2 linked regions of the Elephas maximus indicus genome follow. The protein of the gene in region 1 binds, or shares a complex with, the protein of each later gene. Links are inferred from orthologs where the notes say so. Each region holds a gene or a part of one and is shown on either strand. Other genes may lie near its edges.

The links.
Region 2: the proteins of POLA1 (region 1) and PRIM1 are in contact, whole or in part, in a cryo-EM structure (PDB 7OPL), measured with the Homo sapiens proteins. The link is inferred for Elephas maximus indicus from reciprocal best matches to the Homo sapiens genes POLA1 and PRIM1. Residues at the interface, in NP_058633.2 of Homo sapiens: Tyr439, Ala440, Pro447, Glu448, Lys449, Ser450, Phe876, Thr877, Thr878, Gln880, Leu906; in NP_000937.1 of Homo sapiens: Asn92, Thr93, Val94, Lys95, Leu96, Gly97, Ala98.

The regions. Positions count from the first base shown.
Region 1 is NC_064846.1:154,224,560-154,231,669, forward strand, and holds the start of POLA1 (DNA polymerase alpha catalytic subunit), read right to left. Parts: upstream 3,019-7,110; 5' UTR 2,938-3,018; coding exon 2,895-2,937; intron 1-2,894. UniProt on the Homo sapiens protein: Catalytic subunit of the DNA polymerase alpha complex (also known as the alpha DNA polymerase-primase complex) which plays an essential role in the initiation of DNA synthesis.
Region 2 is NC_064822.1:116,653,879-116,661,889, reverse strand, and holds the start of PRIM1 (DNA primase small subunit), read left to right. Parts: upstream 1-5,006; 5' UTR 5,007-5,121; coding exon 5,122-5,224; exon of another isoform or gene 5,225-5,243; intron 5,244-5,891; coding exon 5,892-6,049; intron 6,050-7,835; exon of another isoform or gene 7,836-8,011. UniProt on the Homo sapiens protein: Catalytic subunit of the DNA primase complex and component of the DNA polymerase alpha complex (also known as the alpha DNA polymerase-primase complex - primosome/replisome) which play an essential role in the initiation of DNA synthesis.

The DNA of each region.
Region 1 (7,110 bases):
AAAAGGGCCTCAGGCTACCAGCATAATATAAATATGGCACCCTATAAGACGTAAGGTTGAGAAGAGAACAGTTAATTCTGCCTGGGAAATCAGGAAAGGCTTCACAGGGCAGATTTCCAACAGAGGCTCACAAAGAAGAGTAGAATTTCACCATAAGTGAACAGGGTCAAAAAGTGGCATAAGCAGAGGAAAAGGCATGAGCCAAATTACAAAGGATAAAAATGCAAGGTGTATTCAGGAACTGAAAGAAAGTCAGCATGGAAGGTTGAGTGTAGAGTGAATAGGAGAACTGGGAGATCTGGGGGAAGCAGCACATCCCAGCGCTGCCATTTACTGGGTGGCATTAGACGAGTTAACCTCTCTGAGCCTGCAATGGGCAGTTGTCTTTTTTTTTTTTTTAAGTTGCCCAGCATCTGAACCTGTTTGTGAAATTCCCCCCTTATAAGTCTTGATGGAAGACAGGGCCCAGGCCCCACTCAATAGCTGAAAAAAGGTCTGTGTCAGAAGCTTTTTCCCAGACTCCCTTGCAACTAAGGCATGGGCATATAATAGGCTCTACCAATTAGGAACACCTCCTCAGGCTTTAAATCAGAAGGTAATGTCACAAGGAAGTGAAGGAGGCTGACTTAAGGAAAAGTCTAGAAGTAGTGACGCCTACAGGAAGATTGAGTGCCTGCGGTAACAGCGCCAGCAATACCCCAAGATACAAGTTATAGTATCAAGTACTTGGCCACGTTAGCAATGACTTCCTCACTGGACCAGTTTTATGGCATGATTTTAAGTACTGTTCCCGGCTAAGCAGCCCCAGACTGGCTCTCCAGCCCTCTTAAGAGTTTCTGTGAACACCACAGTGTCCTTCCAATAAATTCCTTTTCTGACTAAATCAGTTAGAGTTGGTTCCTGTAGCTTGCAACTAAGGATTCTGGCTAATGCAGAGCCTCAGTGTCCTCATCTGTGAAACTGGGATAATCATGTCTGCTTCGTAAAGTTGGTAAGGGTTAAATGAAGATGTTTATCTTACTTCATATTTAGCAATATAAATAGGAGAGGTTTATTTTAATGTGTGTGTATAGCTGCAGGGTAGTCACACACACATGCAGTACTGTGGCCTATCTTCTAGAAAGCAAAATTAAACAAAGCCACTCTCTCAGGGAAGCCTCAATATAGCACTGCAACATCTCAACTCCATGAGGACTGAAATTACATCCAGCCTACCCACCACTGTAACACTACAGCCTGACAGAATACCTAAGCCTAGTAAAAAAAAAGCCTAGTAGGTACATAATAATTATTTGCTGAATAAACAAATTCATGAACCATTTACTTGCCTTTTTTTTTTTAATCGTTAAGCTCTACCGGAGTCCTTCTCATATATAATGGCTACTTACAGACCTTTCACCTTTTTGCTGCCTTTGTCAAGGTACCATATGTCCTAATACTTAAGGAAAAAAAAAAAAAGACCTGGATTTTCCTTTTTGAAATACATCTCCAATGCTTCACATAATAAGTTAGCAAAAAAAAGAAAAAGCACGAAAAAATCCAGTTATAAAACGTTAAATATCTGGCTCAAAATTACCCTCTGGAGCACCCCTATTCTCCCAAAAAGCAGACAGACACTAGCCTGCAACAGACTCTCAGCCAACAACCTTTCAGTCGGCTCTAAAGGAAAGATTCCAGTCACAAGCCTAGCAACTACTTAATCAACACCATAACTTAAAAGCGATCTCAGGACTGCACAGTATCCTTCAGGGAGTGATTTCTTGATGCTCACAGATGACATACAGTTTTTAGGGCGAGAAAAGGGCTTAGTGGCAAATCACTGACATACAGCTGAAAAGACTGTTCACACTCACATTCTAAATCCCATTTGTAATCCACGCTAGTCGACTCTCCAAAATAAATTGTCTCAAAAAACCAAGGGCAAGAGCAAATTGAAATCTGTGATTTACAACCAGGTGAATGCAAAGGAAGCTGATTAGGCAGCCAGTTCTCATTAATGGTGATGTATCTGAGTGACAGATGAAATGCTTGAGCTAAGACAGTGAAGCATCTGATTTTAAGTTAGAAGTTCACTGAAGTTAAGTCACACTTTAGTTGAACGCCGTTCAAAAATCTGAAATCAGAGAAAGCCATTTGCATTTTCATATTCTATTCTGGGGAATAAGAGATTACCACCGACAAACCGAGTGAGATATAGGGCATCTAAAGTGCCACTGAACCGATCCTTTAAAAAAAAAAAAACTTCACCCGAAGCGACTAGATTGTGCACACTATTTGTATGAAGCACTTGAACAGCTTTCCATGGAAGAATCTGAAAGAAAAATTGTTAATGCATAAAGCAGAAACCCATTACCTAGAAAGACGAAACGCTTTTCTCTCTAGTGATGGCACTTAGAGCTTTCTTTCCTTAGTTCCAATGTATAACAATTTCCCTGGAGTTCCTAGAAAGGGGGACGTACATCTGTCCTGTCCTAGCCCTGAAGCGGATACTTGAGGAAGAAGTAAAACACTTGCAGCCAAGGCAGTGCCCCCACTGAGACCAGTCTCGATGACGGTGTGCCCAACACGTGGGGTGCGACTCACCAAAAGAAATGAAAGGCAGGTGCTCTGACCCGCAGTGACAGAGCTGAGGCAGCTTCCCAAACAAAAAGCCCCACAGGGGATTGCTCGGGTTTGCTAGGAGTAAACAGTCCTGGCACAGAAGTTCTCGTCCAAAGCCAGAAAGAACCCCGCCCAAGACCATCTGTAGTCCTCGCCCGAACAGACCCGCGGGGCGATCTGGGAGCGTGCTTCGCTTAGAAAAAATAGAGACCTCCAGAATCCCCACCACCCGCAATCATGCTATGGTCCCTGAACTCCCAACCGAGCATCCCGCGCGCGGGGCTGACCCTCACCGCTCGCCCCCGGCTCGCAATCGTCGCTGTGCACCGGCGCCATGGTTTCCGACTCTCCCGATTCCGCGCCAACTAGCCCGAAACTGGCGCGGGGGCCGAGACAGGCACCAGCCCGAAAGCCAATCAGCGGCTAGCGAGGCTGCGGACTTCCGCCCGGAAGGCCACTTACGTGCGGCGCAGCGACGAGCCGCGCCCCGCCCCCGGCCTTCCCGCGGCCTCGCGTTTGGCGCCCTGTGATGACCCCTTAGGGGAAGCTTCAGCTGAGCAGAGGCCGAAGGAGAGCAAGAGAAAGAAGCGGTCGGGCGCTGAAAAGGAACCTTCTGGAGACGGGCTGCGCAGGCGCACGCATGCTGATGAGAAAAGATTTGGGCACGTAGAAGTAGCGGCTCTTTGGTTCTGAGACTTGATTTTTCGGGAAAAGAGGCGCGGGCGGGCGGAACATGGGCGTGGTTGTACCATTTCCTCTGGAGCCTGAGAAAGCGACTGCCTCCTGCTGCGCGCTCTGAGTTTTAATTGATGCTTTGCTTGTATAATTTTTATTTTTGAGTAAGTTACCACTTAAAGATATATACACCATCTTAACTAAATAGCATCACACACACACAAACAAAAGCATCGCTAACAAGGAGCAGTCTGACGTCGTATGCCTCCTGATGGGATGCACGTCAAAAAGCCAACACCAGCTATCTGGGCTTCTTGCAAAAAAAAAAAAATGTTTAAGCTAAATCTAACCATGAGGAAACAATCAGATGTATACAAAGTGTAAGACAATCTACAAAATATCTGGCCTGAACTCTTGCAAAAAGTCTATGTTGTGAAAGACAAAAAGGTGTACTAAAGGAGATTAAAGAGAAACAACAACTTGAGTCTCGATTGGGTCCTGAGTATTAAAAACAAAACAAAAAACTGTAAAGGATATTATTTGGGAACATTGGAGAATTTAAGATGACATATTATTATGCTGATGTTAAATTTCTTACATGTGATAACAGGATCGTGATTATGTTGTTGTTAGGTGCCACTGTACAACAGTGCCTATGTAGAACAGAAGGAAACACTGCTCAGTCCTATGCCATCCTCACAATCGTTACTATGTTTTAGTCCATTGTTGAAGCCACTGTGTCAATCCATCTTGTTGAGGGTCTTCCTCTTTTACACTGACCCTCTACTTTACCAACCATGATGTCCTTCTCTAGGGACTGGTCCCTCCTGATAACATGTCCTAGGTACACAAGACAGAGTCTCGCCAACTTCGCTTCTAAGGAGCATTCTGGCTGTACTTTTTCCAAGACAGATTTGTTTGTTTTTTCAGCAGTCCATGGTATATTCAATGCACTTTGCCAACACCATAATTCAAAGGCATCCGTTCTCCTTCGATCTTCCTTATTATTGTCCAGCTTTTGCATGCCTATATTGTTGTTTTTAGGTGCGACTGAATCGGTTCAGACTCATAACAACTCTTCGTACAACAGAACAAAACACTGCCCAGTCCTGCGCCATTCTCACGATCGTTGTTATGCTTGAGCCCCTTGCCGTAGCCACTGTGTCAATCCATTTTGTTGAAAGTCTTCCTCTTTTTTGGTGACACTCTACCAAGCATGATGTCCTTCTCCAGGGACTGATACCCCCTGATAACATGTCCAAAGTATGTGAGATGAAGTCTCGCCTGCTTCTAAGGAGCATTCTGATTGTACTTCTTCCAGGACAGATTTGTTTGTTCTTTTGGCAGTCCATGGTATATTCAGTATTCTTCGCCAACACCATAATTCCATGGCGTCAATTCTTTTTCAGTCTTCCTTATTCATTGTCCAGCTTTTGCGTGCGTATGAGGCGATTGAAAACACCATGGCTTTGGTCAGGCGCACCTTAGTCTTCAAGGTGACATCTTTGCTTTTCAACACTTTAAAGAGGTCTTTTGCAGCAGATTTACCCAATGCAGAACCTCCTTTGATTTCTTGACTGCTGGTTCCATGGATGTTGATTGTGGATCCAAGTAAAATTAAATCCTTGACAACTTCAATCTTTTCTCCGCTTATCATGATGTTGCTTATGGGTCCAGTTGTGAGGATTTTTATTTTCTTTATGTTGAGGCAAAATCCATACTGAAGGCTGTGGTCTTTGATCTTTATCAGTAAGTGCTTCAAGTCCTCTTTGCTTTCAGCAAGCAAGGTTGTGTCATCTGCATAGCGCAGGTTGTTAATGAGTCTTCCTCCAATCCTGATGCCCCACTCTTCTTCGTATAGTCCAGCTTCTTGGATTATTTGCTTAGCATACAGATTGAATAGGTATTGTGGAAGGATACAACCCTGACGCACACCTTTACTGACTTTAAACTATGCGGTATCCCCTTGTTCTGTCTGAACAACTGGCTCTTGATCTATGTACAGGTTCCTCGTGAGCACAATTAAGTGTTCTGAAATTCCCATTCTTCACAACGTTATCCATAATTTTTTATGATCTACACAATCGAATACCTTTGCATAGTCAATAAAACACAGGTAAACATCTTTCTGGTACTCTACTTTCAGCCAGAATCCATCTGACGTCAGCACGTCATTATAATACTTTGTCTTCTCAAGCTGCCCTTGAAATCTTCTGTTCAGCTCTCATCCCTCGTTCTAAGTCCTCTTCGGAATCCAGCTTGAATTTCTGGCAGTTCCCTGTCCATGTACAGCTGAAATCGCTTTTGAATGATCTTCAGCAAAATTTTACTTGTATGTGATATTAATGATATTGTTCGATAATTTCTGCATTCGCTTGGATCACTTTTCTTTGGAATAGGCATAACTGTGAATCTCCTTTAGTCGGTTGTTGACCAGGTAGCTGTCTTCCAAATTTCTTGGCATAGATGAGTAAGCACTTCTAGTGCTGCATCTGTTTGTTGAAACATCTCAGTTGGTATTCTGTGAATTCCTGGAGCCTTGTTTTTATGCCAGTGCCTTCAGTGCAACTTGGACCTCTTCCTTCAGTACCATCAGTTCCTGATCATATGCTACCTCCTAAAATGGTTGAACATCGACTAATTCTTTTGACTATAGTGACTCTGTATATTCCTTCCATCTTCTTTTAATGCTTCCTGCATCGCTTAATATTTTCCCCATAGAATCTTTCAATATTGCAACTCGAGGTTTGAATTTTTTTTTCAGTTCTTTCAGCTTGAGAAAGGCTGAGCATGTTCTTCCCTTTTGGTTTTCTAGGTCTTTGTACATTTCATTACAGGTCTTTGCACATGTCATTATAATACTTTACTTTGTCTTCTTGACCTGCCCTTGAAATCTTCTGTTCAGCTCTTACTTCATCATTTCTTCTGTTTACTTTAGGTACTTGATGTTCAAGAACAACTTTCAGAGTCTCTTCTAACATCCATTTTGGTCTTTTCTTTCTTTTCTGTCTTTTTAATGAGCGCTTGCTTTCTTCATGTATGATGTCCTTGATGTCATTCCACAACTAATCTGGTCTTCAGCCATTAGTGTTCAACACATCAAATCTTTTCTCGAGAAGGTCTCTAAATTCAGGTGGGATATTCTCGAGGTCGTACTTTGGCTCTCATGGGCTTGTTCTAATTTTCTTCAGCTTCAGCTTGAACTTGAATATGAACAATTGATGGTCCGTTCTGTAGTTGTTTCCTGACCTCGTTCTTACTGATGGTATTGAGCTTCTCCATCATCTCTTTCCACAGATGTAGTCGATTTGATTCCTGTGTATTCCATCCGGCAAGGTCCATGTGTATAATTGCCATTTATGTTGTTGAATAAAGGTATTTGCAATGAAGAAGTCGTTGGTCTTGCAAAATTCTATCATGCAATCAAGAAGTGGGCAAAAGATATGAACACACACTTCACTAAAGAAGATATTCAGGCAGCTAACAGATACATGAGAAAATGCTCTCAGTCATTAGCCATTAAAAAAAAGAGAAATGCAAATTAAAACTACGGTGAGATTCCATCTCACTTCAACAAGGCTGGCATTAATCCAAAAAACACAAAATAATAAATGTTGGAGAGGCTGCGGAGAGATTGGAACTCTTATACACTGCTGGTGGGAATGTAAAATGGTACAACCACTTTGGAAATCTATCTGGCGTTACCTTGAACAGTTAGAAATAGAACTACCATACAACCCAGAAATCCCACTCCTCGGAATATACCCTAGAGAAATAAGAGCCTTCACACAAACAGATTAAAAAAAAAATCTTAAATGCACACTCATGTTTATT
Region 2 (8,011 bases), on another chromosome or scaffold:
AAAGAGTCTCAGACTGACTCCCAGGTTCCTCCCTTCGATAATTGAGTTGATGGTGGTGGTGCCTGTAAAACAAGATCAGAAAAAGAGGAAGAACCTATTGATTCCCCAGACCACTGCAATTTGCTTTCTGTCTTGACTGTTCCATAAAACGATCATACATGACTTCTAGCTGCCAGATCTGAGCACTCTCTTCAGTCTTCATCTTAAATGACTATGCTCACCCTTTCACAGCTTTCTCCTCCCTTGGCTCCTTTGAAATCATTCTCTCCTAGCTCTCCTGCTTCTATTACTATTCTTTCTCATTGTCCTTTGCTGGGTTCTCTTCAATATATAAAGTTAATCCCCTTAAGTATTCTATCCCAGTCCTTCTCTTCTTGCCATACACATCCTCCTTGTTTGTTGATCCCAGTCATCATCCTGGCTTCAAACCTGACCTGAGGAGTAATGACTTGTAAATCCCTAACTTCAGTCCAGATCTCTCTCCTAAGATCTAGCCCCTCTCAGGGAGGAAATTTTGTTTGGAAAAATAACTATTTCTCTTTAGAGTAGAAGGTGAGACCCCAAGGGCACAAAAGAGATCCAAGCTGTTCCATAACAGAAATCAATAGGAATCTAGGGGTAGAAGGCTAGTTGGCGGTGGGGAAGGGATGAGAGAGAGGTTAACATAACAAAGCAGGACTTTGAAGAACAGGATTGCCTCATACTCAATGTTAGATTATTCATGTAAATGCTTCTCCAAATTTCCCAAACCTTCAATTTAATATGGTTCACTCACAATGGTTCTGGGTTATTTTTGGTTTTTGGTGTGGAAATCATGGGAACAGGTGCACTCAATATCTGGGTCCGTTTATTCCAGTAAAAGGATAACCTGTGCAGGATGACAAGTGATTTCTTAACTGAAATAACTCTGTTCTGGCAGGAGCTCTGAGCCAGAGGTGGCCATGAGAAAGTAAGCTTACCAGTTTGCAGAAATCAAGGAGATGACACCGGACATGTTCCAAATTGTGGACTGGGAGCCTGGGCCAATCTTATCCAAGGCATAAGGAACATGTTGATGCCAACAGACGTTTGGGTTACAAATGCATCCATAACACTTCACTGCACTTTTTGATTTGTGTCTATTGCTCTGACTAGACTATAACGTTCTTGGGAGCAGAAAGCATCTCATCATTAAATTTTTCTCCCAAGAGCCTGGCAAAGTGCCCACATATGTTTATAAACTATTTGTGCAGTAAATAGATGACTTAAAGAGTGGCTGAATGAGCCATACTTTTATTGAAGAGATCATCCTTCTAGATGCTAAAAACACCCAGAATAACAGGTGGAGCTGAACTGGAAGGGAAGTCCATTAGGTAGGTGTCCAAATCTGCAAAGAACTTGGAGAGACAGACCTGGGACTGATAGATATTACAAAAACGCTAAAGAGGATGGTAAAGCCAGATAGTACAAGGCTTGAAGGAGAAAGGACTTTTGCACCTAGGTGGCCTAGAAATCCCAATGGGAAACAAACTGAATGCCAATACTGCCTCCTGGTGGCGTCTGGGATAAACGCCTCTATGCCGGAACACAAGGAACCTTGGTAAGCACTCAGCTGCTAACTGAAAGATCAGCAGTTCAAACCCACCAGGTGCTCCATGGGAGAAAGATGTGGCAGTCTGCTTGCATAAATATTACTACCTGGGAAGCCCTATGGGGCAGTTCTACTCTGTCCTACAGGGCCGCTATGAGTCAAAATCAACACAACAGCAAAAAATCATGACAGAACACCTTTAAGGAATAAATAGCCTTCTCACATTGAGTGGCTCTGAGTCATGGACTGTGCCAGACACTCCTTTAACTCTCATAACAACCCCATGCAGACTCAGCATGTAGCTTAGGGGTTAAACGCACAGGCTCTGGAGCCAGGCTGTCTGGCTCCCCACTTACTAGCTGTGACCTTGGACAAATTAAGTTTTCTATGCTTATTTCCTCATCTGTAAAAGAGAAATAATACTAACACCTACCACATAGATTCTTATAAGGAATAAATTCTTAAAATGGTACCTGATGGCATAGTAAGTGCTATATAAATATTAAATATATATATAAATATTAGCTATTATTATTCCCTTTTTCCTGATGAGAAAACTAATGTTAAACAAACCAAGCATATAGCAGGAACTCAATAAATATAACTTCCTTTCCCTTCTCCCCTTATGTCTTAGCTCCTTACTTAAGATATTGTCCTCCTTAGCAACCCTGGAATTTAAATAGGGGACTCCTGAAGAGCCTAAAGAAGTCAGTTCCTAAAGGTAGCAACAAGGAAGATGAGAAATTTCCATTTGATGGGAAGCTGAGAAATCTCCATTTAAAAGTCCAGTGCGCATCGCAGCACTGTTCACAATTGTCAAAAGATGGAAATAACCTAAATATCCATCAAGAGATGAATGGATAAACAAAATGTGATCCACACATACAATGGAATATTATTCTGCCACAAAGAGAAATGAAGTCCTTATACATGCTACAACACGGATGAAACCTAAGAACATTATGCTGAATTAAATAAGTCCATGACAAAAGGACAAATATTGTTTGAGTCCACTTACATGACACAGGCAAACGCACAGAGACTGCAGCGCAATGGATCACTTTCATATGGCCTTTCTCACCATGGTCTTGTATCTCCCACCCAAGTAACTGGGTGAGAGTATACAAATAAGGTAATTGTGGCCCACCAAGAGGATTGGATAGCTTGCTAATAATGCAAATAAAGTTCATGGCACCCCTGTGCAGGTGGGACCATGCAAATGAGGTCTATGGAAAACTAACAAAAGGACTGGTCAGTTTTGCCATCCCACTAGCCTTAAGATGAGCCATCCCAGAGGCAGGAGGAGAGGATCTCACCACTGCTAAGAAGAGCCAGGAGTGGAGCACATCCTGTGGACCTGGGATCCCTATGCTAAGAAGCTCCTGGAATCAGACCAAGAAAAAGAGAAAGAGAAAGCTGTAACATGAAGATGGCGAGAAGTGGCAGCAGAGAAACAAAGGCAGGAGTTGGCACAGTAGGCTTTCCAGGCCTACGGAGCAAGAAAGCTTAGTGCCTTTGAGCAGGAGTCTTGCTGGCAAAGTTGGGTGCTTCCTTTGTGACCCACGGAGCTAGAGGTGAGCCTTCCAGCAGGGGCTTACTGGCAGAGTGGTGTGCCTCGGGGCACTTATCAGCAGAGCTGAAAGTTTTGTAACACTTGCCCAAGCAGGGTAGAGCCTAAGGGGCCAAAAGAACTTTATAATGCTTGCCCAAGCAGGGCAGTGGGCAAGGGGCCAGAGAGAGGCAGGCATGGCTGGGAAGAGGCTGTCCTGATCGAAGAACTGTATCCTAAGCATTCCTGAACCTGAATTGTAACCTGTCACTTCCCTAATAAACCCATAATCCTGAGCATTGTCAATGAATTATAGAACTCAGCAAAGAAGTAGGGAGTGCCATGGGAGGGACAGTTGGTGTGAGAATTGATGAAGAGGGTGGAGGGTGGAGGCATGTGTGACCTCCACCTCACAGGAATCAGCCCTGGGCTGTTGATCATGATTCTCCTTCCTCCTTGTGAAATCAGAGGTTAGACGCCGCCCCCATGCCATTTTTAGAGAGATTGAAACCCTGGTGGCATAGTGATTAAGAGTTCAGCTGCTAACCAAAAGGTCGGCAGTTCAAATCCACTAGGCAGGTGCTCCTTGGAAACCCAATGGGGCAGTTCTACTCTGTCCTATAGGGTCGCTGTGAGTTGGAATCTGACTTGACGGCAACAGGTTTTTTTTGGTGGTTACCAAGGGTAGGAGGCAGGAGAGAGGGGAAGTCTTGGCTTAGGGGGCACTGAGTTTCTGTTAATCGTGGTGGAATAATCTGGAAATGGATCATGGTGCTGGTTGCACATGATAGAATGTAATCAGTATCACCAAACTGTACATGTAAAAAATTTTGAATTGATAAATGTTCTGTTATACAGTAAAATCTACGAAAGCCAGAACTTGTATAAGGTGAAAACCTGTCAGCAAAGGAAAACTCAAATACTTTCCACTAAAATGAGAGAGAGAAAAGTGGTAAGACTGCACCCTGTCAGAGACGGAAAAGTTGCAAGACCCGGAAAAACAAGGCAATCCCATTGAGTTCGGGTTCTCACAGGTTTCATAATTAAAGAATAAAAACAGTCCAAGGTGGATGTGGTTCCAGAAAGACCACTCTGCAAAGCATTCCTATTACTACTGGAAAAGTGAAGACCCTAAAGGCTCTGAAATTGACCCTACCCAAAACAGGATGCATAGGGGCTGTGAAAATTAACAATCAAGATTTGTGCAGGAAGCCAGATTTCTGGCAACATTAAAAAATATGATCTGCCCAGAGCCCACTGCAGACTAACTTGCCCACAGAAGCTGGGGGGTGATGATCATTTTCAAGATTAGGCTAATAAATCCATTTACGAAAGACTCTATTCTCTCCTGACTTTCCTACTATTACTGTGAAAATAATATTAATAATAATGGTTTTCAAGTGACAAGATACTCAACTAGATTATCAGGCTGCCCACCGCAACCCACATTTGCAATGAGATGTATCTTTTATTCAGTAGGGCTGATTGGCGTAACTGCCACATCAGTAGCAAACCGACTCTTTTCATACCCGTAAAGCTCACCATGATTCTGCAGGCTTCTCTAATTCATATTTTAGCGTTCCTGGGTGTTCTACTGAATTCAGCAATTCTTTGAAATATTAAAAGAACTAACTTCCAAACTCTCTTTAAAAAATGTCTGCATCGTTCGTTTTTTCTGAAACATTCATAAAGTTAGAACGGAATATCTTTATTACTCCACTTTAATAACCTAAGTCGATAAACCAAAAGTCTCACCTTTCAGAGACGTTCTTCCGGGAACGGACACTGTTTCCGCCCACGTGAACGGTGCTGTAGTGTCTGCGCGCCTGCGCCGAGCCCCTCGACTGGCCCATTCCCGAAGTAGAAACTACAAATTCCGGCGGTCCAGTCAGCCAGCAGGGCCCAGCGCGCCTGCGCAGTGACGGAAGCTTCGGCTGTACTTTTTTTTTACAGTTCCCGCCAATTCTTGGGGTAGTCGTGCTCTGGCATAATTCCGTGCCCCATGGAGGTGTTTGACCCTGCCGATCTGCCCGAACTGCTTAAGATTTATTACCGGAGGCTCTTTCCCTATGCCCAATACTACCGCTGGCTCAACTATGGCGGAGGTGATGCTGCGGAGAGCGGGTGGGTAGTGGGTTGGGAGGGCAGTGTAAGAAGGTTCTTGGCGGGATGTTCTCGGAATGACAATATGAAGTACCTCCTGCGAGCTAGGCATTGTGCCGGGCGCCTTGGTGCATTATCTTGAGCCCTCCTCACCTCCTCTGAGGCGGAAGGGGGCCGAGAGAGGCTACACTGATCAGCCTACGGACACACAGTGAAAGGCATAGCCGCTGCTCCTCCTCCTACGCGGTCAGGCTCACTTTAGGTGTCCAGTTGACCTGCCGCGGTGCCTAAGCAAGGGGGTTACTGGGTTGTAGCATGAAGGTACAGAGTCGTGATCTGTATCAGAGACAGAAGAGCGTCTCTGGGAGGAGGAGAAGTACTATCCTCTTGGCAGCTGATTTAATTTATTAATGCCTACCGGGGCGTTAGATTTTTAACATTTCTGCATTTTTTCTGCTCACTTTACTTTTCCCTAACAGTTGCGGAAGGATACATCCCTTCAAATGAGGTACTCTCTCTTGTCCCTTTTTTTTTTTTCCCTTTCTTTTTTACATCTAGTATAGTGTTGGGCACGGGGCTCACTAACTGTATTCTCATTTCTCAAATGCCATAATGCCCTGAACTGAGTAAGGTACCAAATTAGCTTTAAAATGTAAATTTCTTTTGCAGTGATAAAGAATTACTTTCAACACCGTGAATTTTCATTCACATTGAAAGATGATATTTACATTCGCTACCAATCCTTCAACAACCAGAGTGAGCTGGAAAAAGAGATGCAGAAAATGAATCCATACAAGATTGATATAGGTGCAGTATATTCCCACAGAGTAAGAAATCATTTTTATGTATTGTTTTATTTTCAAACCAAGGATGGGTTGGTGCCCCAGCCTTTGATATAAATTTTTAGAGTTTATTCAAGTTGAGGACCCATAATGTTTACTTAACTGCTTTTGCAGGTAGACTGGTAATCTTCTTTGTTTTTTGACATTCTACATTACTGACTGGAAATCGTTTGGGAGCGAATTGGTTACATTCCCACTAGGACAAAAAAATTTAGTATCTGGCTAAAAGACTAAATGAGGACGTCAACGTGGTTTAAGGGAGAGAGTAAAAAGTATTATATTCTCTTCCAGCATTGGTGTTATTCTTGACTCCTCTCTTTCTCTCACACTCCCACATTCTTTGCCTTAGGAAATCCCTTTGGCCCTACCATAATATATATCTATAACCCAACTACTGCTACCATCATTCTGTCTCACCTGTATTACTATAAAACCTAACAGTTTGCCTCTCCAGACCCTAAAATCTACTCTCAACACAGCAGCCAGAGTGATCCTCTTAAAACAAGTCAGATTCTGTGATCCTTCTGCTCAAAACCATTCTCCAGTGGCTCCCTATTTCACTGAGTGAAAAGCCGTTCTCTCCCTCTTACTCCACTACAGCTACACTGGCTCTTGCTCAAGCTGTCTCCACTGCCCAGAACACATTTCTCTAGATATCTGCTTGGCTCATTTCCTCACCTTCAAGTCTTTGCTCAAAGAGCACATTTTCAATGAGATCTGCTGCAACCTGCCACTCCTCCCACCCCCTGCCACTGACCTATCCTAGAATTGCCTAGAATAGTGGGTACCCCATAAATATTTGTCGAATACATGAATAAATCAGAATTGCTCTTCCCTTCTTTAAAAATACACACATGGGATGATAACTTTTGTATGGAGCTTTTTCGTATGCTGCTTAACTTGTTCCTCATATCAATCTTAATCTTTTTGCAGAGGAGAAAATGGGCCCAGGGAACTTAGTTTGCCCAAGGTCCCACAGTTTCTAAAAGATAGAGCTGGGACTTGAAGCCAGATTTTCTGACTCTAAATCCCAGGTTTGTCTCCCACCTGCAGAGTAAGGGGAAAAGAAGAGATAAGGAAAGGCAGGCAGCAAAAATGCTTCAGAACAGTTTACTGAAGAATAAAACTGAAGTCTCAAAAGAAGGGCCAGGATGCCATTCTGCTTCCTTGTCCCACTGAAGGAGGAAAAAAAAGTATCATTTTCTTATTGTGCCGAGAGAGGCATTTATAGACCTTTGTGTATGTGTTTTGTAAGGAGCCCTTGTGGCACTGTGGTTACGTGCTCAGCTGCTAACCAAAAGGTCAGCGGTTCAAACATACCAGCCATTCCACAAGATGTGACAGTCTGCTTCAGTGAAGATTTACAGCCTTGGCAACCCTATGGGGAAGTTCTACTTTGTCCTACAGAGTTGCTAATAGTCGGAATTGACTTGATGGCAGTGGGTTTGGTTTGGTCTTTGGTATGTGTTTTGTGATTTTTATCAGTTATATATGCCAATAGTTTATAGAATCAAGTAGTTCTATAGGCATTTTGAAAAAGTCTCCCACCTTTACCATCAGCTTCTGCTCCCCAGAGGCAACCACTTTATTTTAGCTGATTCTTATTTGCCTCATGTCTCTAAATAACATTGCTTATATTTCTTTCATTTTTCCATTTTAAGCATTATATATTGACTGTCCATCCTGGCAGATGAGGATTTAGCTTTCTTTCACCTCACCCTCTACCCTCACCACACACAAAACCTTCCCATGCCTAATTTATTATGCTCCTAATGTAAATTTTATTACTTTAAAATTTAGATTATAAATTCAACCCCAGACTCTTTGCCAGTTGTCTTCATCTCCCAATATATTCAGATCCATCAGGTAGTCTGTCAGTTTCATCTTGAAAACATTTCTCCTGGAGATTTCTGACCTCTCCAGTCTGGACTGATTACTGTTTAGGCC